Arabidopsis thaliana: one gene and its partners. The protein of the gene in region 2 purifies or fractionates together with the protein of the main gene of each other region. This does not show direct contact. Each region holds a gene or a part of one and is shown on either strand. Other genes may lie near its edges. The genes, in order: DRP3A, ARC5 and DRP3B.

Region 1 (10,581 bases), on a different chromosome or scaffold from region 2:
CCAATGACTAACTTGTTGGATTATGATTTATAACCTATTGGTGCATAATTATGATGTGTGAACAAGTTTTTAAGGAATCTTGGCGAATGACAAAACTTTGGAAAGAAGAGAAGAATAAGGAACTCCAAAACCACCGATGCTTCCTCTCCTCTCTCGAATCTTCTACCGAAGCAGATTCCTATACTTTTGTCAACACTTTTTAAGTGTTTTGCGTTTCCAATGTACTTTGAAGATTATTCTCAAAACTCCATAAAATTCTTACTGAAACAGAGAATTTTTTTTTTTAATTTTAATCTAAGAATTATCTTGAAGCTGTGTTCTTTGGCAAATATAAATACACGTCGACTAGGACAACACTTGCGCTCTAAAGATTGCAAATCCGTGTTCTATCTCTCTCAACAATTATTTCCCCTGCTTCCAAAGCTTTGACAACATTTCTATTCAAAAACTTTAGTTTTGAGTTTTTTTTTTCTTGTATACTTCTCCCCAAAATATGAGCGATCCCAAGTATGCATATCCTTACCCGGCACCGGGAAATTACCCGCAAGGTCCGCCACCGCCGGTGGGAGTACCGCCACAGTATTATCCTCCACCACCGCCACCGCCTCCTCCTCCACCACCACCACGAAAAGTTGGTTTTCTTGAAGGACTGTAAGTGCTCTGTTTTTATGTTTCATAATATTAGTTTGTTTCTATTATTAAGGAGTGATCTGTTGGAATTTATAAATGAACTTCAATGTTTGTCGGTGGTAATGTGTGTTTTTGGTTTGCAGATTAGCAGCTCTGTGTTGTTGCTGCTTGGTGGATGAATGTTGCTGTGACCCGACCATTATATGCTTTGATTAAGTTTTCAGGAAAAAGTATGTCTGTTAATTTCATTATGCTTATGAGGTTTATACAATAATTGTTGTGATATCATGTGACTACTACTTTCTTTTCTTGTCGCTTTAATTAGGTTTTAGTCTTGCCTTTTATATATGTATCACAAATTTCTGCAGCTCATCAAGTAATAAGAGAATTTATTCTGATTTCTGATTAGTAGTTATAGATTATGCTGAAAATGAAAATGCGTGTGATAGAAATGTTGGATACAGATACGTGGCAGTAGGTAGATATGCATTTTATCCGAATACGGAAAAAATGGAGAATGACGTGTCCACTTCTTAACCGAAGAGTAAACATTATCGTGTCTTGGCTCTTAGCCAGTGATAGGGACTAGACAACAAATCGGATTTTGGTCCGCATCTATACAGAAAGTACTGAGGTGGGTTTGGAATTTGTGAATACCGCTGTCCATAACTAACTCTTAACCATATCGTCAATTTCCAGCATAATCTGTGACTCGTATAGGGGAATGTTCCACGTCTCGTTGCTCAAAAAACGAAGAAACTACACAATTTATAAGGTCGTGTGGACCGATCATGTAATATAACTTATTGATTAAACATTCCCCAAAAAAAAATTTAGAGTGAAAGGTGTTTGCTTCCCGTTATTGTTGCAGGGGGAGCATTTGAAACAAATTGGAAAAAAAAACTATATCACCTTTCACTCCCTTATCAAGTCAACCAATGCAGAGTCCAAAAGGACCAAAACCCACACTGTGTACTGGTTTCCTATATAAATTCTTCATATGACCAACACATAATTTAATACCAAAACCTGAAAGAGCCATTAAATGAATGAAATGCGTTATCACAGTCGAGAGATATTCGAGATATTTGGATCATGTTAGAATCCGTATCCATTTTGGTGTTGATCTCCTGCTCTTCTCGATCTTCTTGTCGTACTTGGAGATGCCGAGTATGAGCTGCTTGTCGAATACTTTGAAGATGTCAGTAACTCCTGATGTTTTGACATTCCTGCTGACACCGAATCTGCTTCCAGTGGCAACTCATCTAGTGTCTGTTTCACCCACAAAGACCACATGGTTACATGAATATCAAACATAAATTCTTCATAGAAACAGTTTTAAGTGAAAAGAAGACTTTATTGTTCAACGGAACAAGGTTTATGACGATTGATGTACAGAGTTAGGTTTTGCTGAGAACATACCCTGTAAGCTTGCTGAAGAACGTGGAGAGTCTCTTGTGTGCGTTTCCTCTTAACTGCTATCTCATCTGGCTCTTGCAACATTTCTTCAAACAAGTTCTCCCTGCACCAGATGAAACTACTAGTCAGTTTTAAGAGACTACTAATCCAAACACAGATGTGAGGAATTAAAAAACACAGGCATCACCTGTAAAGCTTCTTGATGAAGACGTTATGCAGCTCACGTTTTGTGTGGTTTACCTGAAGCATTAAAAAGAAAAGAAATGGTATCAGCATCTTCATTCTTCAGAGTTTATTTACTGTAAGATAGCAACAAGATTATTACACACAAGATGGACAAACGGCTTTTCATTTTAACTCTCTCAAAAGACAATTTCAAAGGGCAATCAAATATCAAGGTGATGATATATCGTACAAGTTTGAGATACTGCAAGAAACTTGGGGAAAGGGATGAGGGTACTTGCCAGGAAATGCATGATTGCTTTTGGTACCGAGTCCTCAATATTCTTCCTTACAATGTCATAGTATGATCTTAGTAACAGCTTTGTTATCTGAATCTCAACTGCTTCCTGTTCTGAATGGGTTTCGGTTGGCCTCAAGACAGCTGGGGGCTTCAGAAAAGCAAAGCAAACAGTATGAGTCAAATAGGTAAGCATGTATTGGCAATATGAATCATCTAAGATGGCACAGGAGACACACCTCCTTTAGATAGATCATGGATAAGTTGTGAGACATATCCTCAACAGCTTCACTGAATGGTTTGTTTAATAAGCTATCTTTAGTAACTGCTCTAGTATCACCCCCTCGGAAAATTGAAGGGATACCCCACCTTGTATCACTCGCATTTGCTATCATGTGTCAGCAAAACCACAATTAAAATCTACTCAGGATTATAAGCTATTAGCGAATCGAGACAAGATACATGTTTACGCAGTCTCTGAAACATAGCAAGAGATTCATCACACAGCCAAAAATCTTCCAAAACACGAAATGGAAGGCTAAAAATGACAGCGGTGAGAAAATTACCAGCAGGTTGAGCTTTTTCAGCATCTGCAGATACAACTCCCTATGAACAATCATGAGTTAAGTGTCAAATAGTCACTCTTTATCTTGAAAATGTCTAATTTGCTCATGGGTCCTTAGGGCTAAACCCATAGTGCACAATGATATACAGAATTAATTATATATAACATGTAAAATGACAATACCTGATCAGTAACAATTCCATTAGCTTGCCTGCCGAGAAACGATCTAGATTTCACTTGACTCGTGGAAGAAGATGTTCTATCAGGCTCCACAGTGTCCTGCTATATCAACTTAAATGTATAAGAAACACTGCAGAGTATATATGAAACCAAAACCAATTTTAATGTATTTGCTCAGAGTACTTCATACCTTTGGTCGTGCCACAGGATGGGGAATCCTCGAAGACTTCACTTGATGCATTGCAGCTTCCACGGCCTTGGTTCCACCAATAAAATTTGGATGTGAAGTGTTTATGTAATCCATCTGCAAACGACATTCAAGAAATTATGATACCATCACTAATACTTTAGTTCAAAGAAACTAATCAATCAAAAACGAGGAAATCACTGCTCAAGATTAAAAAAGGTCCCTAATCAACCAACATATTAGTCTGGGCTCTTTATACACAATAGAGAAACTCAACTCAACGTAGGATTTTCAATTCATTATACAGACCTCCATATCAATGATATCCCCGATCATTGCTTCTGAGGGTTCAAGACCTTCTCGCAGGAAATCCCCGATAACCTCATCCATGCGCTTTCGTAGGACTGGAAATCGTTGTAACTCATTCATCATACATCTATGGCTAATCTGTAGAGAAATTCAAATTTATGAAGTAATCTTATTACTTATTAACAACAAACCAAAAAAACACTCACCTTTATTAGCTCTTCAAAAATGAACCGGGCACACTGAAGGCTAGGATCTAACAAACGAGATATCTGCCTCCTAACAAGAACTTCAAATGGAACCTATGCATAATTGAACGAGATCAAGGGACTCTAATTAGATATCCTGGGAAGTGGAAAAGGCAAGGAAACATATGAATGCTTGAAAGCCCTGACAACCAGGATAACTTCCATATATGCTGAAACATGTTAAGAAACCTACATCTGGAACAAATAATGCAGATCTTGGACCAGTTGCATTCTGAATTGCAGTCCGAATATCATCATCTGTCAAGTCCTCGCATGGATCAACCTCCTGAAGAGGCAATGTGAAGGAATTCAATCAGTCTAAATTTACAGAGATCCACGAGCTCAACGTCAGAAATATACTACATTATTTCCATTTGGATAATGTCACTAGCTAAACTAAGATAAGATAGAGGAGCCAATGCTTAACAAAGCAGTGTAAAAGTTCTCTATCAATGTCAATGAAATGAACCGTAAACATCAGTGTACCATCCGAAAGTACGCAAAAGTATTGGCGAGGTTAAGAAACGGGAATGTATAACAACTGTTCAAGCTCAAGGAAAAAAGTTTAACGATTGCCCAAACGAACCTCCAAACTCTTAACAAAGATTGACTGGAAAATATAGTGAATTCTTGCTCCTCCAGAGAGCTCTGACGTAGACATTTCTTCACTTTTCCCTTCCAGCAATGAAGAGTATGCTGTTCAAAAAAATTTACCCATGAGACTCACTATGAACCATAGAAAACATAAAACAAATGTCAATGGTCTCAACTGAAATATCGTCTTCACATATTACCTTCACAGTATTTGGAGAGAAAGTTGAGGAGAAGAGCTCCTTGCCCAGCCTAAGAATTTCAAGGACAGTAAAGACCAATAGAATAAGATAAGTTTGACTAGTTAAAAATTGAAAAAGAAAAACAACTCATAGAGATGAAGCAAAAAAAAGTTAAAAAAGAAGTACCCATTGGCCAACAACCTTTCCCTACAAATAAGAACACCTTTAAATGCTAATTCTACGACTTAAAGATATTTTTTTTGTAGTCTAAAAACAAAAAGGCTTTACGAACCCTGAGCACATACATGAGAAAATAGTCTGGACGAGCAAAATTGTATTCAAATGAAAAGACTGAGCAAATCACACCATTAAATGGAACAAATGGCAATGTACCAAAGCCAATAACAAAACAATGAATTCGATAAATAGATGGCAAATTGAGCAGTAAAATACATACCCTTGATTCTGTTAATTCACCATAGCTCTGATGCTCTTTTGCTGTAGCAACCAAAGCATTACTTATCCGCGACTTCAAATCCGGAAGCAAGACCTTGATATGTTGAACAAGGATCTAAAAAAATGCAACAGAAAGGCCATCTTCTATCAGACATTTTCTAATATTAAAGTATCTTAAAGTCTGTAAACAAAAAAAGATATACATGCAAGGCCAAAAAAATAAGCTAGGGTAGAATCCGCACAGCCATGTAAGTAACCTTAAAAAGTGAATAATGCATTTAAACTCCACCATAATCCCATATTAGATATTTCAACATAGAGAAAGCGTCTCCCTTATGCCTTACTGAACAATGATTGACATAACGAAAAAAGGAACTCCCAATTCCCATAACTGCAGAAAATACCTGATTTAACTTCTTTGCTAGCTGAGGAACACCCAAACGATCGGCAAGACCATGGTAAACCTGTATAGGTACCAAAAAGACTCAGCTTTAATCAGAAAAAATAGCAAGAGTATCAGAAAGTGAATCAACAAAATGATGTTAGCATACCGGGTGACTCCGGAAGAACTTCTCCTCTGCGAGAAGTGCTTCCTTGACTGTGCGGTTTAGCAAAATATCCTGTTTATAAAATATAAAGATCAAAACACTGTAGATGCAGACGCCACAAAAAGTAGACAAAAAATAAAAATTCTGTCACAATAGCATCGAAGTGATAAAATTAGAATTAAAAAACAAGCACAGCCAAAGGTAGAATAATAAAAAAAAAAAAAAAAAAGAAGAGACAGCCTACTATATGATAGCAAGAGAATCATAAGAAAAATAAGTACAGAACAGAAGCAATAAAGCTCAAGTCACATAAAAGAAGAGCCACACTAAATAAATTAAAAAGCAATAGTTGTGAGCAACCACAGGTTTACCTCCTGGCAACGATTTACAACTCCCACGTATCCAAGTCGAAGAGGAACAACATTTCCAAGAAGGAGTTTTCGAGCATCAGTACCTTTGTCCATAATATCCAACTGAAAACATGATAATAACATATAGTAAATCACATGAAAGACAGGGACGCCTATGGTGATGAAATAAAACAAATGTCTGGACTGGGAATATGCACCTTTGTGATTACACCTATCGTTCTGTGACCTGGAGACAGTATAGATAGATGAAAGGGTGAAGATGAGTAATGTCAAATACAACCCATTAAACTAGTCATTGGACTTGTGAGTAGAACTTACCATCAGGATCTACAATGCTAGCAATTTGAAGGGCATCAGAGTTTGCTAGATCGGTATTAGCAGGGGTAACAGCCAATATCAAGCAAGTATCTTGCTTGATGTAAGACAAGATCATCGTTCTTATACGTGCTTCAATGTCGGATGGCTGGTCACCAACTGGCACCTTGGTAATACCAGGCAGATCCACAAGCGTGATGTTCAATACATTAGGTGAAGAAATTTTAAGACGAATCTGTGTATCTGCTACACCTTTGTTCTCTCCAACTAATCTATTCGTCTCAGCCTACAAAGATGTTGCATTTCATACATTAATACAAACTTGGAAGAGCAATAGAGTATCAAATAAAGCAAGGAAGGGAATAAAAAACCTCAATTTCTCGACGAATCTCAGAGAAATCATAGAAACGAGTTTCAGGAAGGTGACGAAACTCCCCCCACTCATCATCGGATCCGCCATTAGCGCGGCTTTTAGTCTGGAGGAGCTGGAGAACAAGAGGACGACGCGTGCAGATATCATTACCACGAGGGAGAAAGTCACGGCCGACGAGTGCTTCAAGGACGCTAGACTTGCCACTGCTTTGGCTTCCAACAACAACAACCTGAGGAAGCGCGATCGTAGACTGGCTTCCGAGCTGAGCGAATATGTCTTGTAGCTTGTTTACAATCGGAATCACAGAGGATCCCAACGGCGCGGCGTTGGTGGTGGAGGAAGACGGAGAAGGCGTAGAAGAAGAAGGAGGCGTAGACGGAGGAGTCTCACCGGAAACTTCTTCAATAGTCATCGTTGGATCGGATTTTGAATGAATCAAAGTTGCTAGGGTTTTGAAAAAATTAAGTTCGTGGAGAAGAGAAGACAACACTGGGAAGAAGAGAAGGTCAATTACTCGGGATTTTCGTGCTTAGCTCTATCTCTATCGAAGAGAGGAGGATCTTTTTATTAGAGTCGCTAAATAATTTTTACTTGCTCAAGAATTTTAAAAACGTGAAGAAGAAATTGAACTTTAATCACAACTTAACAAAATAATTCAAATTAATTTTATATTCACTTAACCTTTGTTAATTTATAATGATAACAACTAAATAATTTCACCTTAATCTCCATGGTCCAAAAGAAGCGAATAAACATTTTCATTTACCTAATTACATTAGTTTTTAATTTATAAAAACTTTTTTTCTTTCTAATATTAGCCTGTGCTTTTATTAATCAAATAAGTTTAGAAAAAATCTATAGATACAGTTTTAGTGAGGAACTGAAGTTCTGTTCTGTCTTTAAATATTCGTTGTTAACTTAAACGCAATCTTTTGCTATTTCATCAGTAATTTTTTGTATGGATAAACTAAAAGAAAAAAAAAATAGAGAAAAATCGAATGTTAAAATCGTGGTAAACCGGCTGATGTCGTATCATTTATTAAGGTCTCAAACCGGAGGTGTGTGTTAATTTTCAATGTTGAAGAAAAATCGGTACGATAAGGTTTTCAAACCGGTTAAGTGTGCGCATTTTGGTCTTTTCAACCGGATTAGGAGGGACAAGAATGAGTCCATCGAGCTGTCTTCGTCAGAAACAGAAAGAGTCTCTTCTTCAATCCAATCTTTTTACAACATTAGGCTGTTGAGACCTGAAATCTCTAAGGAAGAAGAAAGAATGAACGTAGACGAAGAGATTCAGAAACTGGAAGAAGAGATCCATCGTCTTGGTTCTCGTCAGACCGATGGCTCTTACAAGGTCTCTCTCTTTCTCCTCAAATCTTGTTGGATCTCCCTATATCTGGAATAAATCTGTATTATTTCATTTTCAATCAACAAATACTCTTATCTGAAGAATCAAGATCGTAACATTTACTCTTTTCTCTCGCTCAGATCTAACAAACACAGTTGATTGATTCTTGATCATGAGGATTGATTTGTTCCTTTTGAATACAGGTGACGTTTGGAGTGTTGTTCAATGACGATCGATGTGCCAACATCTTTGAAGCATTGGTTGGGACTCTGAGAGCTGCCAAGAAACGCAAAATAGTCGCATTTGAAGGTGAACTTTTGCTTCAAGGCGTTCACGATAAGGTTGAGATCACTCTCCGACCAACACCACCGCCACCGCAAGCTGCTGCTGCTACTGCAGCCTCCTCCTAAGTTCCCATTTCTGCTTTTAATCTTTATACTATTGAGTGTAATGAAATGATAAACTTGAAGATCAATGATTCCTTTGCTTCTCTATTGTCATGATCACATTGCTTGAGCTATATTTTTAAGTTGTTGCATGTAGTAACAAAGTCACTATTAACAAGAAAGATTTCTTCTCTTTTTCTGCCATATAAACTGAAAATACACAAAGGAAATACAACAACAGCTCTTACCACGTTTCTACCCAATATAGCAGCAATCTCAGAGAAACATACATTAATTTACATATATATATATATATATATATATATATATCTATAAACTTGTCAAGCTTTACAATCTAAGTTTCCTTTCTGATCAAAGACTCTCTGGCGTGTTAAATCTTCCCCCAATTTAGGTACCTTTATCCAAGCTCCAGAAGAAAAAGCGAGACCGTGGATCTCTATACTGGTCCAGAAAGACCTGAACTTGAAGTAATCTTATCTTAGGCACAACCGATCTCATGAATCTGCATATAATTAAACCATTTCAGTTATACCTTTCTCAGTACCGACTTCATATCTACTGTGTATCTAGGAGTATACGTACACAATGGTTACAGCCAGAAGAAAACCCTTCCTCGATTGTAGAGCAGAATACAACTAGGCTTGAAGCCTCAGGCGGTTGAAGAACATCACAAAGTGATATTCAGGTGCCCAATAGACGAATCCAACTACAGGTCCTCCTTTTACATACTGCATTAAAACCATAATTCAACAATCACACAAAACATGTCATTTATTTGAGTTTGAATCCATGGACAAGTTTGTTTTAGTATATTGAGAGACGAAGAGAGGAACCTTGCCATCGAGGATAACAAGCTCGCCATCTACCCATCTCGGATTACGAAATCCAGGATCAGCAAGCCTACCTTGTCCTTTATATCTGGCAATCTGCATTTTGTAAGAATAACTCTACTATGAAGCGACACAAACAACAACTCTAAACGAAAACCGAGCTTAATGATAAACTTGAATTAGTGTTGTAAGGTAAGCACACCACTCCAAATTCTTCGGGGATGAGTCCTTTATGTGGGAGCTCATAACGTCTACCAATCTTTGCCCGAAATGCAACCTGTCATGGATAAGACTGTGGTAAGGCACTCATCATGATATTGCAACAAAAGAGTATTAGGGAAGAAGAAAGATATCGAAAATAAGCGAGTGTGCATTTATAGATCCAAGTGACTATTGCATGATAATACTCCTTTCCTGTGTAGGCAGAAAAGTAACAGCGTTTTTTTTAACTAGATTGGTAACACAGTCGTTTGAGTACGCAAATTTTTGACACTGACCATGAAAACAACAAGTTTTCATATTTGTCTTAATACCTCATACTAGAACAAACATAAAGCTAACCTTCCCAGCAGGCACATACGGATCTCCAGTTAATTTCACAGCTTCAACATATTCATAAAATTCGATATCTGTTGGCTTCTTAGACTCCTTTCCACCTTTCCACTGGCCAAATTTGCGTTTTAAATGGATTACTTCTGATGTATATAGCCCATGTGCGCCAATATAAAGTCCTGGATAGATAAGTACAAAGATAATTAAAATCCAATTCATACTGTGAGAAAATTTGTATTTCAGGTAAGGGTTACAAAATTTAAAGTATTCTATCGAGACGACTCACTTGTCATACCCAACAAATTAACTTCTAACAGCTGAGAAATCAATACTGATAAATTTACAATAGCTTAGGAGCCATCAATGTCAATTTCTATGTTCTTTCGAGAGAAACAAAACAACCTCCACATTCAATCAATTACTCACTCACCGTCTAGGGGATCTAGTGATGGTGTCACATCAATGCGACGAAATTTTGTCAAACCCGACAGCTGTTGACGGTTTTGAGCCTGGCTGAGAGTGAGGCTTAATAGCTCCCCAACATCCTTAAGCATCTGCAACGTGAATTTCTAGATTAAGCTGCGACTCCTTTTCTGCAGTAAAACAAGAAGAA
Region 2 (10,598 bases):
CTTCAACGAGAAATTTTTCCATTACAATCATTTAGTCATGTAATTATGAAAATTTGATGTATATTTTTAAAACTTACAGGACAATAGTTTGTGATGCTCTTCACACCACCAGTTCCACTAGGAAAAGCTCGACGAAACTGATCTTCGATTTTCAGATTCAAACCAGAGTTATCCTATTCCAAACAAAAATCCGAAAATAATCAAATTTAACATAATGGTTTTCGTTAAACAACATAACCCTTTAATTTAAAACCAACTCTCAACAAGTAATTGATGCATGCATGTTATATTACGTACTTGGAATCCCTTATATTTTCATATGTGAACAATAAAAGAAAAACGACAAGAACACTAGTCACCTTATGATAACGTCCAACAGGACAGGCAAAAGCTGTGAAGGTGGTCTCAGGAATGGGAAATGAACCAAGAATCGGACCACTCCCAAACAAGATAGGCCTAATATACAATGTTCCTTTCCCCGGAGGAGGAATCTGCGTACATATATAAGAAAACCCCATTGATTATATCTTTCATTTTATAAGGTTTTATTATCTTGACGAATTCATACAACAATCAATATATATAATATACCCATTTCTTGTTGGCAAGAGCAACTTGTTTGATGGCGGAGACGAATTGATCGACCGAAGGATAAGGCATATAGAGTCTGTCAGCTCCGGCTTGAAGGCGGAGACCGTTTTGGTCTGGTCGGAATAGCAGAATCCGACCATCTTCTGTCCTGTAAGCTTTCAGTCCTTCATATAAACCCTAATCATTCCCAAACCACCATAAATATTCCAGTAAATTAGTATCAAACCATTACTTAAGAATTGTTGCGAAACTAGATCACATACAATGATTTGATAGGAATATCAATACTTTCATACTATTCGGTTCGTTGATATACATTAATACATATATGTACAACTATTTCATTTTTTCAATAGTTTATAGCTCAAATATGCATACAATATAGTTGCTAACTCAATAGTATACTATGTAATTATATTTATGATAATTAGCTCAATCATTTTATTATCAGTGAGAAAGCTATATATTCATGTGTTAATAGTTTTTTCTGTTTCATCTAATAACGATCTAGATTTATATTCATTCTTTTAAGTCATATATAACAAACCTGGCCATACTGAAGAACAGCAGCGCAAGGGTTAAGTTGCAAATCAGCAAAAGGAAGAATCTTCCCCTCTTGAAAACTCTCTCCATGATTGCACTTCGCAACATACATATAATCCGTACGAACAAACTTGAATGCCAACTCTTCCCACTTGACATTCGCATATTTTTCATCCGAAACACTGTAAATTTTGATAAATAAAAAAAAACAAAAAAAAGATCGCCAAATCATATTTCATACTATCAGATTTAAACAATATAATTTGTTCGACGATACAGAAATATTTTACCTCACAGGAAGAGGTTGCGCAGAAGGAGCCATGGATGTGTTTGTTCGAGTCGAGTTGCTTTGTTGTAAGTAGGTAATTGCAAGAAACTTGAGTTGTCTATAAAGCTTTGGAATACTTCTCTTTATATATACGTTTACAACAATTTTTTTTTTTTTTTTTTTTCTATTTTTACAACAAATTGTTTTTTATTATAATAATAAACTTAAACGAAAATAAATAATATCTCTTTGTTCTATTTCTTAAAAAAGAAATTAGCTTGTAGTACTTCAACGTATCTTAACTCTTTAGTCTTTAGTAGGTATATATCATCTATTTATTTATTTTTATTTTTTTTATATTACGATTATAGTGTACGTACGTATTTATTAATCAAAAATAACTTGGTAGAAGTAAAAAGAAAATGATTTTTTTTTTACTCAGTGATCAGTTTTACGTTTATTCAAAAATAAGTTGTAGTTTCCTTCTTAATATTCAAGTTATATGACTAAAAATTGGTCGGTTAATTTACTATTAAGATTAATCGGAAACTCTAGTTAGATCACGAGATAATCATCACGTGGAGAAACATTTGGTTCTTGTCACGTGGAGAAAACGTTAAGCTTATTTTTTACTTCTTTATTATATTTTTGAGGAAATGGTTGAAAGAAAGAGAGTGTTTAAAATGTGAATGCGCTCGTAGTTAGGTGGAGGTTAATGGGTAGGAGGGTAGGTCATATGTGTATTAGTGATGGATAAAAATTAAAAACATAAAAAAAACTTCAAGCTGTAAATAATCTAATAAAAGAACATAGAAATATAATCAAAGAACCATTTAACTAAATAAATACTTTCGATTCAAATAGCATATTTCTAAGTTCCAAGAATAGCTATCCTCTATCCACATGTTACATTTTTTTTTTCTTTTTCACATCCATATAGTTTTTAAAATAATTTTCTAGATGGTATTTTTTATTCGACATTTTTTTTTCCTTTTAGATTTACTGATTATAATTTATTTAGAAATAAATGATACGACTGTCGTTTCTACAAAACTGAAATTTGCAAACATTGGACCAAAAAGCGAAACCTTAATCACTTGAAACGACAACGTTCTTTAGTATGTTTTTGGACATACAAAGTACACATAAGATGTTCCCTCACTCTTCGATTGTTTCTTAACCTAATATAATTAAGCAATATTGAACTTGAGTCACTCAATGCTGCACCGAAGGAGCCTTTAGATTTTGAGCAAATTCATGAGAGTTTAGCTTCTCATTCATCACTCTGAATTTCTCTTTTATCCTCTTTATCTGTCCAAAACATGACACATAACATAATGTTAGTTCTCCTGCATACTTCCAATGGCAAATAGAAAAAAGAGACATTGATCATAGAAGTCAGTTTGGTTTACCCTTCTGAGCTCGATCTCTGTGCTCCGTTTCTTTTGATCAAGTGATTGCCGGAGATTCGTGATGTCGAAGATACTATCGAGGTCGTCTTCAAATGCGTTTTCCAACTCTTCCCGGAGAAGAGCAGGTAACTTATCAACGATGGGCATTAGAAGAAAACAGTTGAACTGCAGAACAAAAGAAAACACAGATACAAACTTTTTAAAAGAAAAGTCATTTTAAAAGCAAGAAGAATCTGAGTAAAAACTGAAGTAGGAGCAAACCTTTAACTCAGCAGAGGCGAGAAAGTACTCTCGTATGCCCTGGAATATCTGTTGGACCAATGCGTACACAATTCTCTCAGAGGAAGGAGCAAGCTTGCGGTTCCAAAGTGTGCTATCTAGAAGATCAGCCAACCGCATTTCTGTTGTCTGAATACTGGAACCTGAATCGATGTTTGAGGCGAGATGGCTTAGCTTTACATCTGATCTTGACTTGGTGTCTGTTGTGCCACCTAATGCATCTTGGGGAAGACTAAATCCTATGGCATTACCTGATGTCGTATTATGCTCTGTTCCACCAAATGAGTCCAAGAATTGACGTAGACCAGCTCGGTTCTACATAACATTGAGAAACGAAAACTACTCAATCAGAAACGGATACTTGATGGTATGTACACAACTCAATTGGATTGAAACAGAGCTATAGGGCTGTAGCAATGACCTTGTTGTGAAGAGACCATGTAACATAGCGAGTTGTACTTGCTAAATCCTCCATACATCTGCAAACAATATAAAATCCAAAGGGTGATCAATCACTAAAGCTCACTAGAACACAGGTAGGAGGCACCGACATGGTAAGAACAGGAATTGGAAATAGAATTACTTGTCACGACATGATTTTTCTGTGGACTCCACAAAACTGTTGAATGCTGAAGCAACCCGCTTGAGAAACACCTCATGCCCACTTAAATATTCACCTTCTTTCTATTCAAATTTAGAACATACATCAAAAAATTTGCTGGAAAGGGATCATGAGTATGATACCGTCAAACCAAAGAAAACAGTACCTACCTGAAGAAGATATACAGAAATTGGAAGCAATCTCTTGAGAATGTGTAGAAGCCTCGCCCCTAACTATATCAACGCAAAACAAACGAAAATGAGAACTGGAAAAAACTTTCTGTATGGAAAGAGAAACATGTGAATAACAAAATTTCAGATGAAAGTATTCCCAAACATAGTTTCTGTAAGCAGAACATGTTTACTCGATAACTCTTATGCACAAATAAGTTCCAGCAAATCTCAAAACTGAATGGTAGTATGATTTCAATATATAACGTTATATTTCATTTTTTTTTTTACGTACAGTACACCTTAACTAATTAGTAAAATTGCTTTCCATCCTCCACGAAAGAAAAAGAAAAAAGTAGCTATATCTATGTCACCTGATGAAGGAAAGGTTCAAACGTCTCACGAGCCTTCGCAACTGCTATAACACAAGCTGTTCTACAACAGCAAATAAGAGAAAGAGAATAAGAGGCCATAGAAAACATGACAAACGTTGCAGCTCAGATTAGATACTGAAAGGGGTCTGGGATGCAAAGACAATAAATTGAGAAGTGTGTTGCATGTCAGTCAATCCTATGATACCTGGAATAGTTTGTTCCATCATGAATATCCTCAACTCCACATGCATTTACAATTTCCTCCCTCGTTATTGGGGGACATTTGATAGCACCAACTAGAAAACGAAACTCAGCCATGGCACGGTGATATTGTGCACCCCCATAGAGACGCATCCCTGCATTCTGTAAAATGAAAGATAATCTGGTTATGGTCTCTCATAATTCTTGAAGGTCCAACGAAGTATCTCTTTTATTTGTTTCCAATACATTATTCTTTGGCACATATGTTTCATGCGGTCAAATTTATCTTCCATCATATTATAATCCATGTACAAGAACAAGACAACTGGATTTGAAGACCATGCCCAGCTTGCTCTATAAAGTCCAACAATATTCTGCTTCAGGGAAAGACTTACCGGTATTAGCTTATGTGAAAACTGGAGACCATCAGTACCAACAAATGCTCCTCCTTGTGTCCTTTCATCTTGCAGTGTCTCACCTGAAAAACACCATGAGAAATTATTAACAATCAAAGAACCCAACATAAAGAGAATGCTGTTATAAAATGTGCTTCTGCCAGTAACCAAAGTATCATGACCAATGATTGATTGATTAGCATACATCATTCCATGTGTAATCATCGCAGTCTGGTGACCCAGTCGAATTGAACAATATGCATTTAACTAAACTGATTTTGCAAAAGTCCAATTTAACAACACCCAGAAACAAGAAAAGTTTATGCCAAAGAAGTTGACTAGCAGAGAACAGAGCAGTAACATTACCAAATTTATCTGGAGGGGCCACAACTGTTCCCTTCAATAACAGCGATAACTGATCAAGAAAAATATAAACAAAACAGGTGAGAAAACACAGCACTGATCAATACTAACAAAGGTACTTCGTACGTCAATCAGAAAATATGACGCAGCAATTTTAAAGTCTTAAGGGCATCCAACACAAAAAGTTTACAGCCATTCTGAATTTGTAGCAAGTCCTAGATATCATTTACTGTAGCATAATTTTATATGTGTCAGTAATCAATAAACAAATTTGTTTTTATGTGTCAGTAGTTAATAAACCAAAAAAAAAGAGAAGTTTACACAAATGAACTTGTTGTAATTATACAAAAACTATTAATCCACGAGTCCAGGCAAAAATGAAAAGGTATGGGAAGGTGTAAATAGAAATCTAAAAAAACGAAATGCTCTCTACAGTTACCTTGGTTAAGAAGAGATCATGGAAAGTCCTGCCTCTCTCTTTGAGTTTTGCTTCATCCAAAGAGCTGCATTGAAAGGAATTATTCAACCTCCAATGAGTTATATTTTCTATAAATCAGTAGCTAACAATTAAACTGCCTAAAATCAAGTAGACATTTTCAGACAAAACAAATTGCGACCTAAGTTCCTTGCTCACGGTATCCAGCTTTCTGACTGTACTGCGGTACTCCTTTCCTAACAGTGGAATGATCAATGGAACACTCTCTTTGTACCTGGAAAGAGAAGGGCATCAAGACTACAGCGAAAAGTAAACTACAATAGAAACAGAGGCTGGAAAAATCAGAGTTAAAACAACAGTTATACCTTTTCCAGAGTAGTTCTTCCAGAAACAACCTCAGTTTACTGATGCCAATCCTACTCTTTTCCTGTTTTGTCAGTAAACGGCCCAACTTCTTCTCTAAAGATGCAATGTCTTCCATTTCTCTAAGTGACACAGCCTGTAATAAAAACCACACATAGTTTAGAAAAAGACCTGTTTAACTTGTTTAAGGAATCAGACAGCAGAGCAGAGACCTGTTTGAACTCGTCATTAGACTTATACACTGAATCCTGTCCATAGCCAACTCTTCCAGAAGGCACAGACGTGAAAAAAGGAGAATCGCCCAATAAGGAGCTGTCAAGTGCGCTTGCAGGAGGTGAGAGAAAGACTTCCACGTCAGATGAACATGAGAATTGAGGGATTTTAGTGTCAAGCTTTGTAGAAACAACAATTGTCCTAGAAAGCTCAGGATCAACCTACATGAACGAGAAACAAACTTTAACAAAAATAAAGACAAGGTTAGACGCAATGGAGTTACGTCAAGCAACGTACTTGCATCACTATCCTTCGAGTGGTTGCAATGCTCCAGTCACTGCTATCTTCGAGGCATAAAATGATGAACTCTTTGTGTTGCATCTTTGCTCGGACTAGAGCTTCCACAGCCCGTGCTTGAACCTAAGAAAAAGAACAAGTAACCCACTCTCAAATAAAGCAAAACCAAAACATGAAATCAGCCACGGAATTGGCTGGAAGCCATAAGAAAAAACAACCTGAAGAGCTCGGTTTTTCAGTCCTGGTGCAGGAGCAATAAGTCCAGGTGTATCAATGATGGTAAGGTTTGGACAATACTTATACTGGACTTTCACAATAATCTCCTTTGCAGAGAATGGGCTACATGGCTCTTGCTCCAGCCTCATGTTCTCAGCCTCAATATATGCCTAACTCCAAATCATATAACAAATTTCGTTAACATGAGCATTTCGCTTCTCTACAATAAACCTAAGTACTTGTGTTTCTCAACATTCGTCAAAATCTTCCCAGAATTTATACGCAGAAACAAGCAATTGAAGAAGCACAAGTAATAATAATAACAAAACACCTGAATTTGTGAGAGAGATTTGGGAAGAGAAACGGAAGGATCATCATCAGATCCGAGATGACAAAGCGGGAATTGACACTGAGGATCGTACTTCATATGGAGAGTAATCGGCCGACGAGTCTTGGTTCCGCCGCCGACATGGTTAAATTGAAACCCCATAAGAGCTTCCACAAGCGCACTTTTACCGTCGGTCTGCTGTCCCACCACAAGAACCGCCGGTGCTTCGAACGGCGTCTCCAATTCCTGCGCCAAAGCGTGTAACTCGTTGTAAGCTTCGTAAAGACTCCACCGCTCCTCAATCGCAGCGTCGTCCTCTTCCGCCATTTCCTCAACCGTCACCGATTTTGCTGATACTTCCGCCATCGTCTCTTACGAAAATGAGCAAGAGGAAGAGTAAGAGTAAGAGAGTGTCTCTTATTTCTTCTACTCTTTAGTTTTCGTCGCCGTTCCTTTTTCCGCCATGGAATTAGCAGATACGGCTAATTTCAATTTTTGTCAAAAGAAATATTTTTTGTGTTTTAATCTCACGCGCATCCATGGCGCGTTGAGTCAACGTTGTAATAGTTCTCCGCTAAATTTAAATAAAAGAGCGCGTAAGGAGAGAGTTTAAGGATTTTTTTTTTTTGGTCGGCAAATACAAAGGATTTGCTTTGTCTTGACCAATAGTATATGCAGAAATATTATCTCAAAGGATTTGTGATAACTATGTAGTACAGAATTGTGATTATTGGATGAGAAACCAGAAATATTTTGAGCAAATGACGACTTGTTAATTTACTATTTTTTCATTTCTTAAAGGTCTCTCTTGTGTAACTATGATTAAAATTGAAATAGTGACTTTTATTGTTACGACATGGAACAAATCAACGAGTTCTATTGTTAAAGAGAGACATTGATGAATGTAACAAAACTGTGGCTTAGAAGCCGAAAGGAGACTTAGTTCGGGTCCCTCCTTCACCGTATTGCTCGTTCCATTTTCTCAATTCGTTCATTGTCGTCGCGTCGTATGCCACTGACGGACTTACCTGCAAATTACATTACAATGACGCAATTTCGATAATGCAAACACCAGGGGAAAAAACATGAATAGAGATGATGATGATGTTTTTTAAGAGATTGATCAATACCTTAGCTTTGGATTGAATGAAGTCGTCCAAACTCAGTGGTCGTAGATCAGGGGACGCATTTGTTACCGAGTCCTGATAATTCGACGTTTCAAAAGCATGGAGTGAGTACAAAAATTATTTTTCGTAACAACAGAAATCAACTGTGTGGGTTTATGCATGTCCTTACCTTGTTTTCTTCTTGTAACAATTCTTGAACAGGTCTGTATGCAGCTGCTATGCATAGATTCTGCAATGTAAGAAAAGAAAAGGAATCAGAACTACTGTGTTGAATCATACTCGAACTTGTAAATGAAACCCCGAATGACCAAACCTTTAGATCGCTTCCTGAATATCCTTCGGTTTCCTTTGCAAGTTTATCAAACTCGAAACCAGTTTCAAGATTTTCTGGTGTCAGAAATATCTTCAATATCTTCAACCGGTTTTCCGCATCTGGTAAATCCACATATATCCTATAAACACAAGCCTCAATACAATTATCGAAAAGATACAAATATTCCAAAGGAGAAATTACTTGAAAGCTTAAATTACCGTCTTGGTAGCCTACGAATGACAGCGTCATCAAGATCAAAAGGTCGGTTGGTGGCACCGAGAATGAGAATCCTTTGGCTATCTTTTGATCTGAGTCCATCCCAAGCTGCCATAAACTCATTTCTCATTCTTCGTGTTGCCTCGTGCTCAAAAGCACCACCACGAGCACCCAACAAACTGTCAACCTATACGACAACAAAATAAATTACAGTTAGTCCTTGAGTAACACATTTTACGCATCACAAAAGTATTCCTCATAAAAAGCAATAACCGAAATTGAAAAGTGATATAAAGCTAAACAATTTCTCACCTCATCAACAAATATAATGACGGGGGCTAGTTTGCTTGCAAAAGAGAACAAAGCCTTCGTGAGCTTCTCTGCATCTCCAAACCACTGTGCCAAACAATGGACGAAATTGACTTAAATCAGAACCAATCAGAGGTAAAGTTGGAAAGAGATTTACTCTAAGTTACAATCGGCATTGACAATAATAAGTCGATGACCGGGGTGGAAAAGTTTTTCTTATGTCATTAGATATTCTCCTTATTTATATGAAGATGTTTACAAAGTGGAATATCAACGTGACAGTGCAAACAACATAGTTTTAAGGTTCCATGTACCTTTGAGGTAAGCGTTGAGCCAGTTATGCTAATGAAGTTTGCCCCAGCTTCTGTTGCAAGCGCCTTGGCAAGCAGCGTTTTACCCGTACCCGGAGGACCAAAAAGCAATATGCCTTTACATGGCTGGAAAAAACAAAGACACACGCATTCAAGAAAACCCAGACGAGAAAATTCCAAGTCCATAGTCAAGAACATAATGACATGTATATAACAGAATGTAATACCCGCAAGAGATTTCCACGGGTGAAAAGCTCTGGCCTTCTCATGGGAAGAATAACTAACTCATTTAGTGTCTTTTTCACATGTTCAAGAGCACCAATGTCGTCAAACTTTACCCCAATTTCTCCAGGAGCAACCACGGCTGAGACAAAATTGGTTTCAAACTCATCCTTCGCAATATTCTGCAAAAACAAAAATCTCTTTTTAACATAATTATTACTCAGAGTTTTCAGCAGCCAATTGCCAGACTACCAGAGGGGGGAAGAAACTAAACCTTCAAGTTTTGTGTGGGCTTTCGAGAAATATCTTCTTGTGCCTTTAACCTTTTAACTGAAATCTCAATGCTTCAAAAGAGGAAGACAATAGTAAGATATAAGAAAATCAAAGATAAATCATAGACCCCAAAGATCAATCAACAACCATGCCATTACCTTTCACGGGGGAGAATCAGGCGGCCCTCTTTAATCGATGGGCTAGGACAAGAAGATAAATAGTGGTTTCTGGCCCAACCGATAACTTTCTCCGCTCCTGCAGAAACAAAATAAACAAGTTTCTGAGCTCTCTTGGTCACAATATAAGTAATTGGGGTTTCATCACAGAAAGCAAGAACTAAAATTAAATGATTAATCATATAGGAGATGACCGATATCAAGGTCAATCACATGGAACTGCATCCTATTTCATGTAATACTAGCAACAAATGAGATACATAACATACAGTTAAGGCATGCTTGATATCCTCAATCAGCAACTTTAACATACTTAACAATGCTAAGACATAACGAGTAATAACATACATAATAAACCAGGTATTTCATAGGAGTTACACACTTTGCTTTGTCAATATCACGCCATCGGTGTTCACTTGGTACAAGTCAGTGCACAATAACTCGTTTTCCTCAAGCGCCTGGGTTAAAAGTTCTCAAAGTGTTACAATGGTTATGATAACATCGCAAATTGACTCCATTTCTCTAACGGAATTCAGTCTATGTCTATGTACCTTAAGTAGCTCATTTAAATTGCTCCGTGACATCACAATTCTTCTATCTT
Region 3 (10,606 bases), on a different chromosome or scaffold from region 2:
TGTTTATCAATAGAATTGGTATCTAGGGTTTGCTTTTTTGATGAATGGGTATTTTTGTGTAGGATTGTAATTTGAGGAAAGTTATAATCTTTGATTAGTTTGAATGTTTCAGTGAGTGCCGTTCGAAACGAGAAATGCCATCTATGTATCCACAAGCAAAGGGTATATTGAGTGCTTTGAAAGAGAAGGGTATCGAAATGGCTATTGCTTCGAGATCTCCTACTTCAGATATTGCTAACACATTTCTTGATAAATTGAACATTAAGCCCATGTTTGTGGCCAAGGTTCGTTTTAAACATCTTCTTCTTTGTTGTTGTTGTTGTTGTCTCCTTATGTCTCTCTTCGATGTGGTTCACTGTGTTAAGCAACTCTTTTTTCTAGTGATTGTGAGGTAACCAAATTGATATCTGTCATAAGGGTAATGCTTTTGGGATTGTTTCAGGAAATATACTCAAGTTGGAGTCATAAGACGGAACATTTTCAGAAGATACACACAAGAACGGGAGTGCCGTTTACCGCGATGCTCTTCTTCGATGATGAAGACCGAAACATTAAATCAGTTAAACACAAACTACTACTTGAGCGTACATTGCATAGTGTGGATTAATTTCTTTACTTTGTGCACTAAGATTGAATCTTTTATGTGTGATCAATTAAACAGGTTTCGAAAATGGGAGTGACAAGCATCCTTGTTGGTGATGGGGTTACGCTTGGAGCATTTAGACAAGGGCTTACTGAATTTACTCAAAATCATAATAGTATCGAGAAGAATAAACAGGTTTGGCGTGACAAGTATTCTGGAAAGCCTACATCATCGGAGACAGACAAAGATTAACATTCATTTGTGAGAGTTATGATCCATTGGTGGACACAAAACATTCTCGAGTGTTGTATCACCATTTTTAACTACAAGTAATTTACTCGGATATGTTAAGATTTGTATTGAACAAGAAAGATTAATCTAGACTAAAAACATGCTCTTCTCGAGAAAATGCAGAAAACATTGGATTGACTTCTATTTTTTTTTTGTTAACAAACACACTTCAAATTGGTTTTTCTCTCTCTTCTCTCTCTCGCATATTTGAGAGAGAGAAACCGTTTGATGTTCTGCCGTCCGGTAGAAATCCGGTTTATTTTCGACATCCATCGGCTCTTTCATCGTTGGTTGGTTGGCTTTGTGTCTAGCATTGTCCGTATCTTTTGCGGTGATGACTAGCTTTCTTCCGGCATAGGTGGCTCCGATTAGCACCTTTGGCCAGCTCTATTTCTGGCATAGGTGGCTTCGATTAGCACCTATGACTGGCTCTGCTTCCGTATTCTCGGTTTCGAGATTGTCCGGCTCTATCTCCGATGATTCCACTTCTCTCCGATGGTGTTTGGTCCATATTTTTCTTCTTCCTTGTCTCTTTTGTTTCAATTTGCTTTGGTTTGCTTTGCTTTGAATTTTTTTTACCTCTTTCTTTTGATCTGAGATTGTTATTCATTAGCCTCTCTTGTATAAGGGACTGATTTCGATCTTTATGCTTACCGGATTTTATTTTTGAAGATCGACTTGCGGTACTGGTTTGATGTGTTTCTTTGTGCCTTTGGTTTGAGGATGAAGAAATTGGAACTGGCACTTTTCTTTTGCCAAGGTTAATTGGAGTGATGGACATTTTAGTTTTTAGGTTCTAACGGTGATGCCTCTAAGTTCATTTTTGAGATGTCTCGATGAAAGATTTTGTTGGAGAATCGAAGAGGAAGTTCTTCTTGGAGTCTTAAACCCTTGCATTAAGAACAAGATCAACTTACCAGTGATAAATTTATCATTACATTGTCTCATGTACGTTCTTGTTTTTCGTAACAAATAAAGCTATGAAAAGTAAAATTAGGAATTGATTATTCTTCTCGGTTTTGAGAAACAAATATTAAGTCACATTTTCCAGTAGGTTGATAATACCCTCACAACAAAACCTCTGTTTATCATCACGTTTCACTATACCTAAGAACACCTTTCTTTCCCCACGCACAACCGATTTAAAGGGAAGAAAACAAATCTTTTCCATCACCAAATGAATGAGTCATGCGTGCAATCACAATTTGAATTTACATATGAAGCCGTCCGTTCCCATTAGTTTCTGTCCTTGATCTTCTTGTGCCCGGTAACTCCTCATGTTTCGCTTCTGAACCAATTTTGTAACCTCTCTCGACCGATTCAGCTTCTAACGGCAGCTCGTCTAACGTCTGTTTTAAACCATATCAAAAAGACACATTTTAACAAGTTAAATTGCAATTTCTTCAAGATAAACCTTCAACTTACCCGATTAGCCTGCTGAAGAATGCGAAGAGTCTCTTGCGTGCGTTTCCTCTTTATCGCTAACTCATCGGGCTCTTTCAACAGTTCTTCAATTAAGTTCTCCCTGTCCCATCCACCAGATTTAGTTCATATAAAAAAAAAGACTATTCACAAAATCAAATGGGAAGCACATGGTTTCTTTCATCACCTGTAAAGCTTCTCGATGAAAACATTGTGCAGCTCACGTTTCGTGTAATTTACCTGTGTTTTATTCACAATTATATGGAATAGAGTTATTAGTCCCCTCACAAAGAATCGACCCACACTAAGTGTCATCAATGACCATAAGATGTTTGGCTAGACAATCAGAAGACTAGAAGAGTGGAACACTAACCAGAAAATGCATGATTGCTTTTGGGACCAAGTCCTCGACATTCTTCCTTACAATGTCATAGTAGGATTTCAATAATAGCTTTGTTATCTCAATCTCAACTGACTCCTGTTCTGAATGAGTTTCAGATGACTTCAAAATAGTTGGAGGCTTCAAAACAAAACATTATGAGATGAATAGGTAAGTAAAGTGACAGTATTGGGCAATATGAAAAGCCTGAGAAGGCACAAGATTCAAACCTCCTTTAAATAGATTGTTGACAAGTTCTGATACACTTCTTGAGTAGTTTCGCTGAATGGTTTGTTTAATAGGTTGTTTTTAGCAGCTGCCTGACCATCACTCCCCCGAAAAATTGATGAGAAACCACTCCAGCTTGTGCTTCCTGATTAATTCACAATCGGTCAAGAATACTACATTCATATTCTAAACAGAACATTGAATTAAGAGCAGACATGTATGCTTATATGTAAGTCGTATCTTAGACAAAGAATTTTATCATTTCAGTCCAAAATCATCTTAAAACCACACGTTCATTTATCTGTGCATACATGAAAGACTGAAAAATAAATGTGATAAGACCATTACCAGCTGGTGCAGGTCTTTCAGCATCTGCTGCAGTTGGAACTGCCTGTAAAAAATGTTAAGTAATTATATTATAAGAAGTCTCTAGCTGCATATCTGTACTCGCTTCATGGGCTTTCAGAAGCAGGGCCAACTACAAATATAGTAAGGAGATCAATGTAACAGAGTCAAATACATAACATAACGCATGACATGCCTGATCAGTGATGATTCCATTAGCTTGTCGGCCGAGAAAAGATCGGGTTTTTATTTGACTCCCGGAAGAAGCCGTCCTCTCAGGCTCCACAGTATCCTAGTTGTCATCAAAGGGAACATGTACGAAAAATTTCACAACTCGCAAAGAGAAACATAAAGCAAATATTAATTTCGCTGAGACTATTCCATACCCTTGGCCGCGCAACAGGATGCGGAATCCTAGAAGATTTGACTGTTTGCATTGCTTGCTCCACGGCTTTAGTTCCCCCGATAAAATTTGGGTGTGAGGTGTTTATATAATCCATCTGCAAATGGTAAACTTAAATATTTTAAACTAAATTTAAAAGAGGCACTAATCAATAAAATTGAGAGTAATCAATTTTCTTGAACTTAGAACATGGTCCTACTCCACCAGTGTGACAAAAAAAAAAATCAGTACGCAATCTAAGTAAATTTAATAATACTGGCCATTAGATTCATGATTGTGTGGATCTTAAATTATCCATACATACCTCCATTTCAATAAGATCTCGGATCATTGCCTGCGAAGGTTCAAGACCTTCTCGCAGAAAGTTCCCAATAACCTCATCCATGCGCTTTTGCAGGACTGGAAACCGCTGTAACTCTTTCATCATACACTGATGACTAATCTGTACATAATTTTTCAATTTAAAATTCATGGTCATGTAAATCAACAGTTAGCATCATAAAGAAACGCAAATAAAAATAACACCTTTACTAGCTCATCGAAGATGAACCTAGCGCACTGAAGGCTGGGATCTAATAAACGAGATATTTGCCTCCTGACAAGAACTTCAAATGGAACCTATGCAGATGAGAATGAAAGCAAGAGATACTAATCAGAGTTGCTGTAAAAGTAAAAAACTCAAGCAAAATAAGTATGTGGAAAGAACAGATAAGCAAAAAAATGCTCCCACATGCTTAGGGATATAGATAAACCTACATCTGGAACAAATAATGCAGATCTGGGACCAGTTGCATTTTGTATTGCAGTCCGAATATCATCAGCTGTTAAGTCTTCACATGGATCAACCTCCTTCAGAGCAAATTGAGAGAAACTAATGAGTTTAAAATCATTAAACCCCTATCAAGTAGCACTGACAACATCAGTAGGTAAAGATCTCTATACAACAGAGAATATTCAGATCGATTTTGAGTAATACAGATCAGATGCTTGAAAGATGGACGGATATGAACTAATATAAACACTGACTATATTTACAACTGAGCATAGTTCTACTCATACAAGAACTGCAAACATGCCACACTTCCAAGAACTGAAAACCTGAAACGAACTGTCTGCCTTCCGTGCAAATAGCCCCACTAACTAAACAAAGATATCTACACACAGTGATTACCTAACTAAGATATAGCCTAATGCTTAGCGAATCAAATAATATCTTATAAATAGAAAGTCATTCATACGAGTATAGGTTTTATATCAATAGCAACAAAATGAATCTCCTCCATTGAAGAACACATAGGTGTATAGGTTCTATATCAATAGCAACACAATGAACCTCCATTGAAGACCACAAATGATATCCCAAATTAAATTATGAAAGTATTACCTAACTAAGATATAACGTAATGCAAAACTTGGAAAAACAAAATAAAAGGCAGTTATAACTGAGTGAAGATCAAGGAAAATTATAAATGTAGCAAACCTCTAAGCTCTTAACAAATACTGATTGGAAAATGTAGAGAATTCTTGCTCCACCCGAGAGCTCAGATGTTGACATTTCTTTACTTTTCCCTTCCAGGGTAGAGGAGTATGCTGTTATAAATAATTAAGCCATGGTGAGGACCAATACCAACCTAAAAAGTATAAACTAACATCCATTGTCTAAACTGAAACAGAACCATCTTCAGATATTACCTTCGCAGTATTTTGTAATAAAACTGAGGAGAAGAGCTCCTTGACCACCCTATGAATTTCGAAACAGTTATAAACCAGAGTAAGCTGTAAGTTAAATAGTCACATGTTGTAGGCATATTTTATACGGAAATGAAAGAGCATATCTAGATATTTAGAAAAAATTTGTCAGAAATATTTCCCTACATATCTTGACATCTTCAAACACTAACTCTATAAATTACCGATAGTTTGTTTAACTGAAAGTAATCAGAAAAGGCTCCCAAGAATATCAAGAAGAGGATCACAAAAATGAATAAAATTATATTCAAATACGAAAACTGAGCAAGAAATCATACAACGCAAAAAAAGCAAATAGCAATGCCATCATTGAGAATGGATGGTATATATAAGGCTAAAACTGGCCAAAACCCACATACCCTAGACTCTGTTATATCCCCATAGCTCTCATACTCCTTTGCTGTAGCAAACAATGCATTGTTGATACGTGACTTTAAACTAGGAAGCAGTGCCTTGATGTGTTGAACAAGGACCTGCAAAGAAGGGAAAAAGAACTAGCTCCCATCAGACAGCTCATAATTTTAGTAATAATATTACCAGCTATGAAACTTATGAGATGCCATCTTTAGAAAAAGGACTACTCCATTCACAGAAAAAGAATCCACCATATGAATCAACAACAATAGTGAGAAGATGTCGCTGAGTTTTTCAAATATATACACACTAATGTCCTACAAAGATCCTAGCTCCTCCTGCTAAATGAAATAAGAAACATGAATGTTACATACAAAAGCCAATTTATTGTCTCAATTAGAGACACATCGGAAAATCCAGAAAGTGTATTCCTTATGACACTCGTGTCTTGACTGCATAACAAGATAATCATAACAAAGAAATTAGACGATCTCAAGACTGCAGATAATACCTGATTTAATTTCTTTGCCAGTTGAGGGACACCCAAACGATCTGTGAGACCGCTGTAAACCTGTTTATTAGAAAACAAACCAAAACAGAAGATATAAGCAGAAGAGTCAAGGAAACGCTATCAGAAAACAAATCGAGAGAATGATGCAGTCTTACTGGACGACTACGAAAGAACTTTTCCTCTGCAACAAGAGCATCCTTGATGCTACGGTTCATCAAAATATCCTGTTAAGGAATTAACACCCACATTAGTTATTGCCTTGCGTAGAGGGCAGTGGCCACATAGTAAGAGCAAACGAAAAATGAATATAGAGTAGAATGGTTTGGTAACACTAAAAAAAAGGTCTATATTACAGGTAGTATCCAAAGGGAAAAGAAGAGTCATAGAGATACAAATTGTGATAGCAAGAAATAAGACACACAAGCACAAAAGTAGAAGTGGTCACAGCTCATAATGGTAGGACAAGAACAATATACATCATAAGTAAACATGCGTAAATTTTTTGAAAAACAGGGTTTACCTCTTGACTACGATTTACAACTCCCACGTATCCAAGTCGAAGAGGAATTGTTTTTCCCAGAAGGTGATTCCGAGCATCAGTACCTCTGTCCATAATATCCAACTGAATCAGAGAGAAAATAGAGCAATCGTGAGAAATAGAGTAGTTTGCCATCACAGCTAAATCTAAAGCAAACTTATGAGGAGAGAAATAGCACCTTTGTGATTACACCTATGGTTCTATGACCTGAGAACAACAAATTCATATGCAAAACGAAATGTCACTATGTAGTATACCAATGAAACTGATAAATTCTCAATCGACTTGCTTCCAAAGACTCACCATCAGGATCAGCATTTCCTGCGATTTGTAATGCATCTGAATTTGCTAAATCAGTATTAGCAGGGCTAACAGCAAGTATCAAGCAACTAGGTTCCTTAATGTAAGTCAAGATCATCGTTCTTATACGCGCTTCGATATCACTTGGCTGATCACCAACAGGAACCTTAGTGATACCAGGAAGATCCACAAGACTAATATCCAAAACATTAGGTGAAAATATCTTCAAACCAATCGGAATATCTGATACACCTTTGTTCTCTCCTGATACTCTATTAGTCTCCGCCTACAAACAAATTGTCATATTCATACAATTAGACGATCATCATCAATAGATTCTATGACGAACTTAGAAGAAGAGAATGAATAAACAAACCTCAATCTCACGGCGAATCTCAGAGAAATCGTAGATACGTCTAACAGGATCGTGGTGAAGAAACTCGCCCCACTCTTCATCGGATCCACCATCAGAGCTAGGTTTCGTCTGAACAAGCTGGAGACGGAGAGGTCGGCGCGTGCAAATATCATTGCCACGAGGAAGAAAGTCACGGCCGACGAGAGCTTCTAGAACGCTGGATTTGCCACTGCTTTGACTTCCGACGACAGCTACTTGCGGAAGAGCGATCGTCGATTGACTTCCTAGCTGAGCGAATATGTCTTGGAGCTTGTTCACAATCGGAATCACGGAGGAGCCTAGTGGCGTTACGGCGGAGGCCGACGACGGAGGGAGATCGTCGACGGACATTGATTTGATTCGATCTAAAGATGGAAGTAATTTGAAAAAGGGGTTAGGGTTTTGAGTAGATTTGTTGCAAAGAGGTTAAAGAAGATCTTTCTCGATCACGCGCCGATTAAAGTAAATCAGAGTTAATAATATCTCTAAATATTTGTGTAATTTTCGGAGTTATTTCTTTTTGAGAAATTATGTAATTTTATGTTATTTTTTAAAGGATAATATATCATCTTATTTGAGATGTAGATTGCACTATTTTTTTAAGGGAGATGGGAGATTTGCAAAACTATCCTTATTCTAATAACCTTTTGTAAAAATGTCCTTTCCTGAAGGCCATTTTAAAAACTGCCCCTTTTAATATGGCAAATGACTGTCTTACCCTCTGAATGATTAGGTTTCACGTTCGTTTCACAAACTTCTTCGTTTTGGCACAAACTTCTTCGTTTTCCTCTCCGATTTCACTCAAAATCGCCGGCGAATTTTCTCTCCGATTTCACTCAAAATCGCCGACGAATTTCCTCTCCGATTTCACTCAAAATCGCCAACGAATTTCCTCTCCGATTTCACTCACAATCGCCGACGAATTTTCTCTCTGAGAAACCCCAAAATCGCCGACGAATTTCCTCTCCGATAAACATGTTCTTCGCTGAAGGATTCAGATCATTTCTCTACGACGCAAACAATCCCCAGAGATATCGATAGATCCGACGGTAACCGTTTTTATAATCGATTTTATAGTCGATTTTATAGTCGATTTTATAGTAGATCTGACGCTGTTTCATAACATGTTTTGCAGATGGATTCAGAGAGTGAAATCCTTGCATTGCCTGAACAAATCTACAGAGAAGGTGAGGAATCTATTACACTGGGAACCGTTCAACAATACTCGGATTGGAATTTAGTTAGTAAAGTAGAGGAAGCTTTAGGCGAGTATTTATTTCAGAAGATTAGAAGTTCGTTTCTTGGTCCTCTAGTTGAATTGGGACCAAAAATGAAGGCTAAGAAGGGAATCAGATTTTCTGGAAAAATCTTTCACTATCTCATGCAGCAGAGAGTGAAAACAAAAGGATCAACTCTTTGGTTTAGAGTTGATTCTCAACCTATCCGTTTCTCCTTGAGAGAGTTCTATCTCACAACAGGTAATAAAGTTTTACAATCGTTTTTAAAGCTTAATTAACTGTCGTAGAATGATTTACAAGGCATTTGCATAACTGTTTGCGTAGTTTACAATCGTTTTTAAAACATAAGTAAGTGTCATAGATAATTTACAAGGGATTTTAAAAGCTTTTAAAAGGGGTTTACTTCATTAACAATCGTTTAAGAAGCATAAGTTAGTAGCATATAATGATTTACAAGGGATTTTAAAAAGGGTATGCATGGTTTACAACCGTTTTTAGGCATAAGTAACTAGCATAGAATAATTTACAAGGGATTTTAAAAGCTTAAAGAAGTGTTAAACACGTTTACAAGGGATTTTAAAAGCATAAGTAAGTGTCTTAAAACGATTTACAAGGGATTTTAGAAGTGTTTGCATAGTTTACAATCGATTTTAAAACATAAGTAAGTGGCATAGAATATTTACAAGGGATTTTAAAACCTTTTCTAAGGGTTAAACATGATTAGCAATCGTTTTTTAAGCATAAGTAAGTTGAATAGAATGATTTACAAGGAATTTTAAAAGCTTTTAGAAGGGTTAAACATGATTTACAATCGTTTTTAAAGCATAAGTAAGTGTCATATAATGATTTACAAGGGATTTTAAAAGTGTCTGCATGGTTTACAATCGTTTTTAAAGCATAAGTAAGTGGCATTGAATGATTTATAAGGGATTTTAAAAGCTTTTAAAAGCTTTTAAAAGTGTTAAACATGATTTACAATCGTTTTTAAAGTATTTACTATAAAACCTGTAATAATAGTCTCTACACTGTCTTTTGTTCATACAGGAATTCAATGTGAACCTGTTCATAGGGAACTTCGACGAAAGGGAAAAGATCCTGTAAAAGAACCATACTTTTGGGCTAGTAAAGGATCCTATACTCTTGGTGATCTCGAAGATCGATTGTTTTTAAAACCTAAGGAAGGTGAACCTGCTGTTGAAGATGAAGAAAAGTTGTGTCTTGCTGCAGTAGTGTTGACTGAAGGAATTCTTTTGACACCATATGGAAAAGAGAAGATACCTTTGCCAAGATTGCAGCATGCTTCTGATTTTGAGATGTACACAGCCCAACCGTGGGGTAAAGAAGCATTCAGTGTTCTATCAAATTCAATTCTGAGAATGGACGAGAAAACTTGGGCAAAAGAGAAATATGATTTGAGAGGATTTGGACTAGCGCTAACAATATGGGTGTTGAGCGCAGTTCCAGCATTTGGTGCAGCATATGGAGTTAAAGATAAAGAATTCCAATCTGAATATCCATTGATATTGAAGTGGAAAAGCACTACTACTCCAGAGTTTTTCAAGATCGTAAACCTTGTAAATGATGTTTCTGAGGTAAGCTTTTGTCTATTTACAGAATTCTTTAAATGGTTTTTAGATTTGAAGTTCTGCTTTCTCAAGATTTGTAATGTTATTGTATCTTCGCAGATGGAGGTGAATACAATTATTGGAAACCCAGAAGAATTCAAGTCTTTAGTTCCTGATTTCCACACAGACGACATAGAATTCCAACATATTTTGGGACTTGTTAATATGGGCTACAGATTGAAGAAAACTGAATGGAATACAAGATGCGTTGATGTTTGTGCTGCCCTTGAAGAAGTAGGTCAAAAC

Evidence for each region.
Region 1: the proteins of ARC5 (region 2) and DRP3A purify together in Arabidopsis thaliana (affinity purification with western blotting, with the first as the bait; one study listed by BioGRID). This does not show direct contact.
Region 3: the proteins of ARC5 (region 2) and DRP3B purify together in Arabidopsis thaliana (affinity purification with western blotting, with the first as the bait; one study listed by BioGRID). This does not show direct contact.

What each region holds. Positions count from the first base shown.
Region 1 is NC_003075.7:16,157,735-16,168,315, reverse strand, and holds DRP3A (dynamin-related protein 3A), read right to left. Parts: upstream 7,493-10,581; 5' UTR 7,244-7,492; coding exon 6,830-7,243; intron 6,745-6,829; coding exon 6,462-6,744; intron 6,370-6,461; coding exon 6,341-6,369; intron 6,246-6,340; coding exon 6,144-6,245; intron 5,845-6,143; coding exon 5,776-5,844; intron 5,689-5,775; coding exon 5,629-5,688; intron 5,340-5,628; coding exon 5,226-5,339; intron 4,839-5,225; coding exon 4,790-4,838; intron 4,692-4,789; coding exon 4,582-4,691; intron 4,282-4,581; coding exon 4,189-4,281; intron 4,050-4,188; coding exon 3,957-4,049; intron 3,889-3,956; coding exon 3,751-3,888; intron 3,559-3,750; coding exon 3,445-3,558; intron 3,357-3,444; coding exon 3,258-3,356; intron 3,116-3,257; coding exon 3,076-3,115; intron 2,898-3,075; coding exon 2,749-2,897; intron 2,661-2,748; coding exon 2,514-2,660; intron 2,290-2,513; coding exon 2,237-2,289; intron 2,153-2,236; coding exon 2,053-2,152; intron 1,903-2,052; and 3 more. Other genes in the region: AT4G33660 (cysteine-rich TM module stress tolerance protein), read left to right, coding at 494-651, 774-846; AT4G33640 (costars family protein), read left to right, coding at 7,907-8,185, 8,383-8,589; EX1 (UvrB/UvrC domain protein (DUF3506)), read right to left, coding at 9,222-9,314, 9,420-9,512, 9,619-9,693, 9,978-10,147, 10,399-10,522. UniProt on the Arabidopsis thaliana protein: Involved in the control of mitochondrial and peroxisomal division and morphology. In association with PEX11C, PEX11D, PEX11E and FIS1B, is involved in cell cycle-associated constitutive self-replication of preexisting peroxisomes.
Region 2 is NC_003074.8:6,847,974-6,858,571, forward strand, and holds ARC5 (P-loop containing nucleoside triphosphate hydrolases superfamily protein), read right to left. Parts: upstream 7,618-10,598; 5' UTR 7,417-7,617; coding exon 7,054-7,416; intron 6,893-7,053; coding exon 6,725-6,892; intron 6,630-6,724; coding exon 6,507-6,629; intron 6,431-6,506; coding exon 6,209-6,430; intron 6,133-6,208; coding exon 5,999-6,132; intron 5,908-5,998; coding exon 5,815-5,907; coding exon of another isoform or gene 5,800-5,814; intron 5,701-5,799; coding exon 5,637-5,700; intron 5,250-5,636; coding exon 5,201-5,249; coding exon of another isoform or gene 5,108-5,200; intron 4,918-5,107; coding exon 4,835-4,917; intron 4,602-4,834; coding exon 4,444-4,601; intron 4,300-4,443; coding exon 4,239-4,299; intron 3,928-4,238; coding exon 3,865-3,927; intron 3,778-3,864; coding exon 3,677-3,777; intron 3,573-3,676; coding exon 3,515-3,572; intron 3,409-3,514; coding exon 3,076-3,408; intron 2,980-3,075; coding exon 2,815-2,979; intron 2,714-2,814; coding exon 2,618-2,713; 3' UTR 2,385-2,617; downstream 1-2,384. Other genes in the region: BCAT4 (branched-chain aminotransferase4), read right to left, coding at 78-173, 360-491, 592-768, 1,139-1,316, 1,425-1,456; AT3G19740 (P-loop containing nucleoside triphosphate hydrolases superfamily protein), read right to left, coding at 7,971-8,078, 8,181-8,252, 8,347-8,406, 8,491-8,629, 8,709-8,893, 9,019-9,102, 9,330-9,452, 9,554-9,730 and 4 more. UniProt on the Arabidopsis thaliana protein: Mechanochemical GTPase component of both plastid and peroxisome division machinery. Required for the last steps of plastid division specifically in mesophyll-cell, when the narrow isthmus breaks, facilitating the separation of the daughter plastids.
Region 3 is NC_003071.7:5,952,168-5,962,773, forward strand, and holds DRP3B (dynamin related protein), read right to left. Parts: upstream 7,942-10,606; 5' UTR 7,849-7,941; coding exon 7,480-7,848; intron 7,390-7,479; coding exon 7,107-7,389; intron 7,011-7,106; coding exon 6,982-7,010; intron 6,888-6,981; coding exon 6,786-6,887; intron 6,490-6,785; coding exon 6,421-6,489; intron 6,326-6,420; coding exon 6,266-6,325; intron 5,874-6,265; coding exon 5,760-5,873; intron 5,393-5,759; coding exon 5,344-5,392; intron 5,242-5,343; coding exon 5,132-5,241; intron 4,823-5,131; coding exon 4,733-4,822; intron 4,501-4,732; coding exon of another isoform or gene 4,498-4,500; coding exon 4,408-4,497; intron 4,270-4,407; coding exon 4,177-4,269; intron 4,094-4,176; coding exon 3,956-4,093; intron 3,749-3,955; coding exon 3,635-3,748; intron 3,541-3,634; coding exon 3,445-3,540; coding exon of another isoform or gene 3,441-3,444; intron 3,295-3,440; coding exon 3,252-3,294; intron 3,049-3,251; coding exon 2,906-3,048; intron 2,817-2,905; coding exon 2,670-2,816; intron 2,537-2,669; and 8 more. Other genes in the region: AT2G14110 (Haloacid dehalogenase-like hydrolase (HAD) superfamily protein), read left to right, coding at 113-284, 443-559, 662-835. UniProt on the Arabidopsis thaliana protein: Involved in the control of mitochondrial and peroxisomal division and morphology.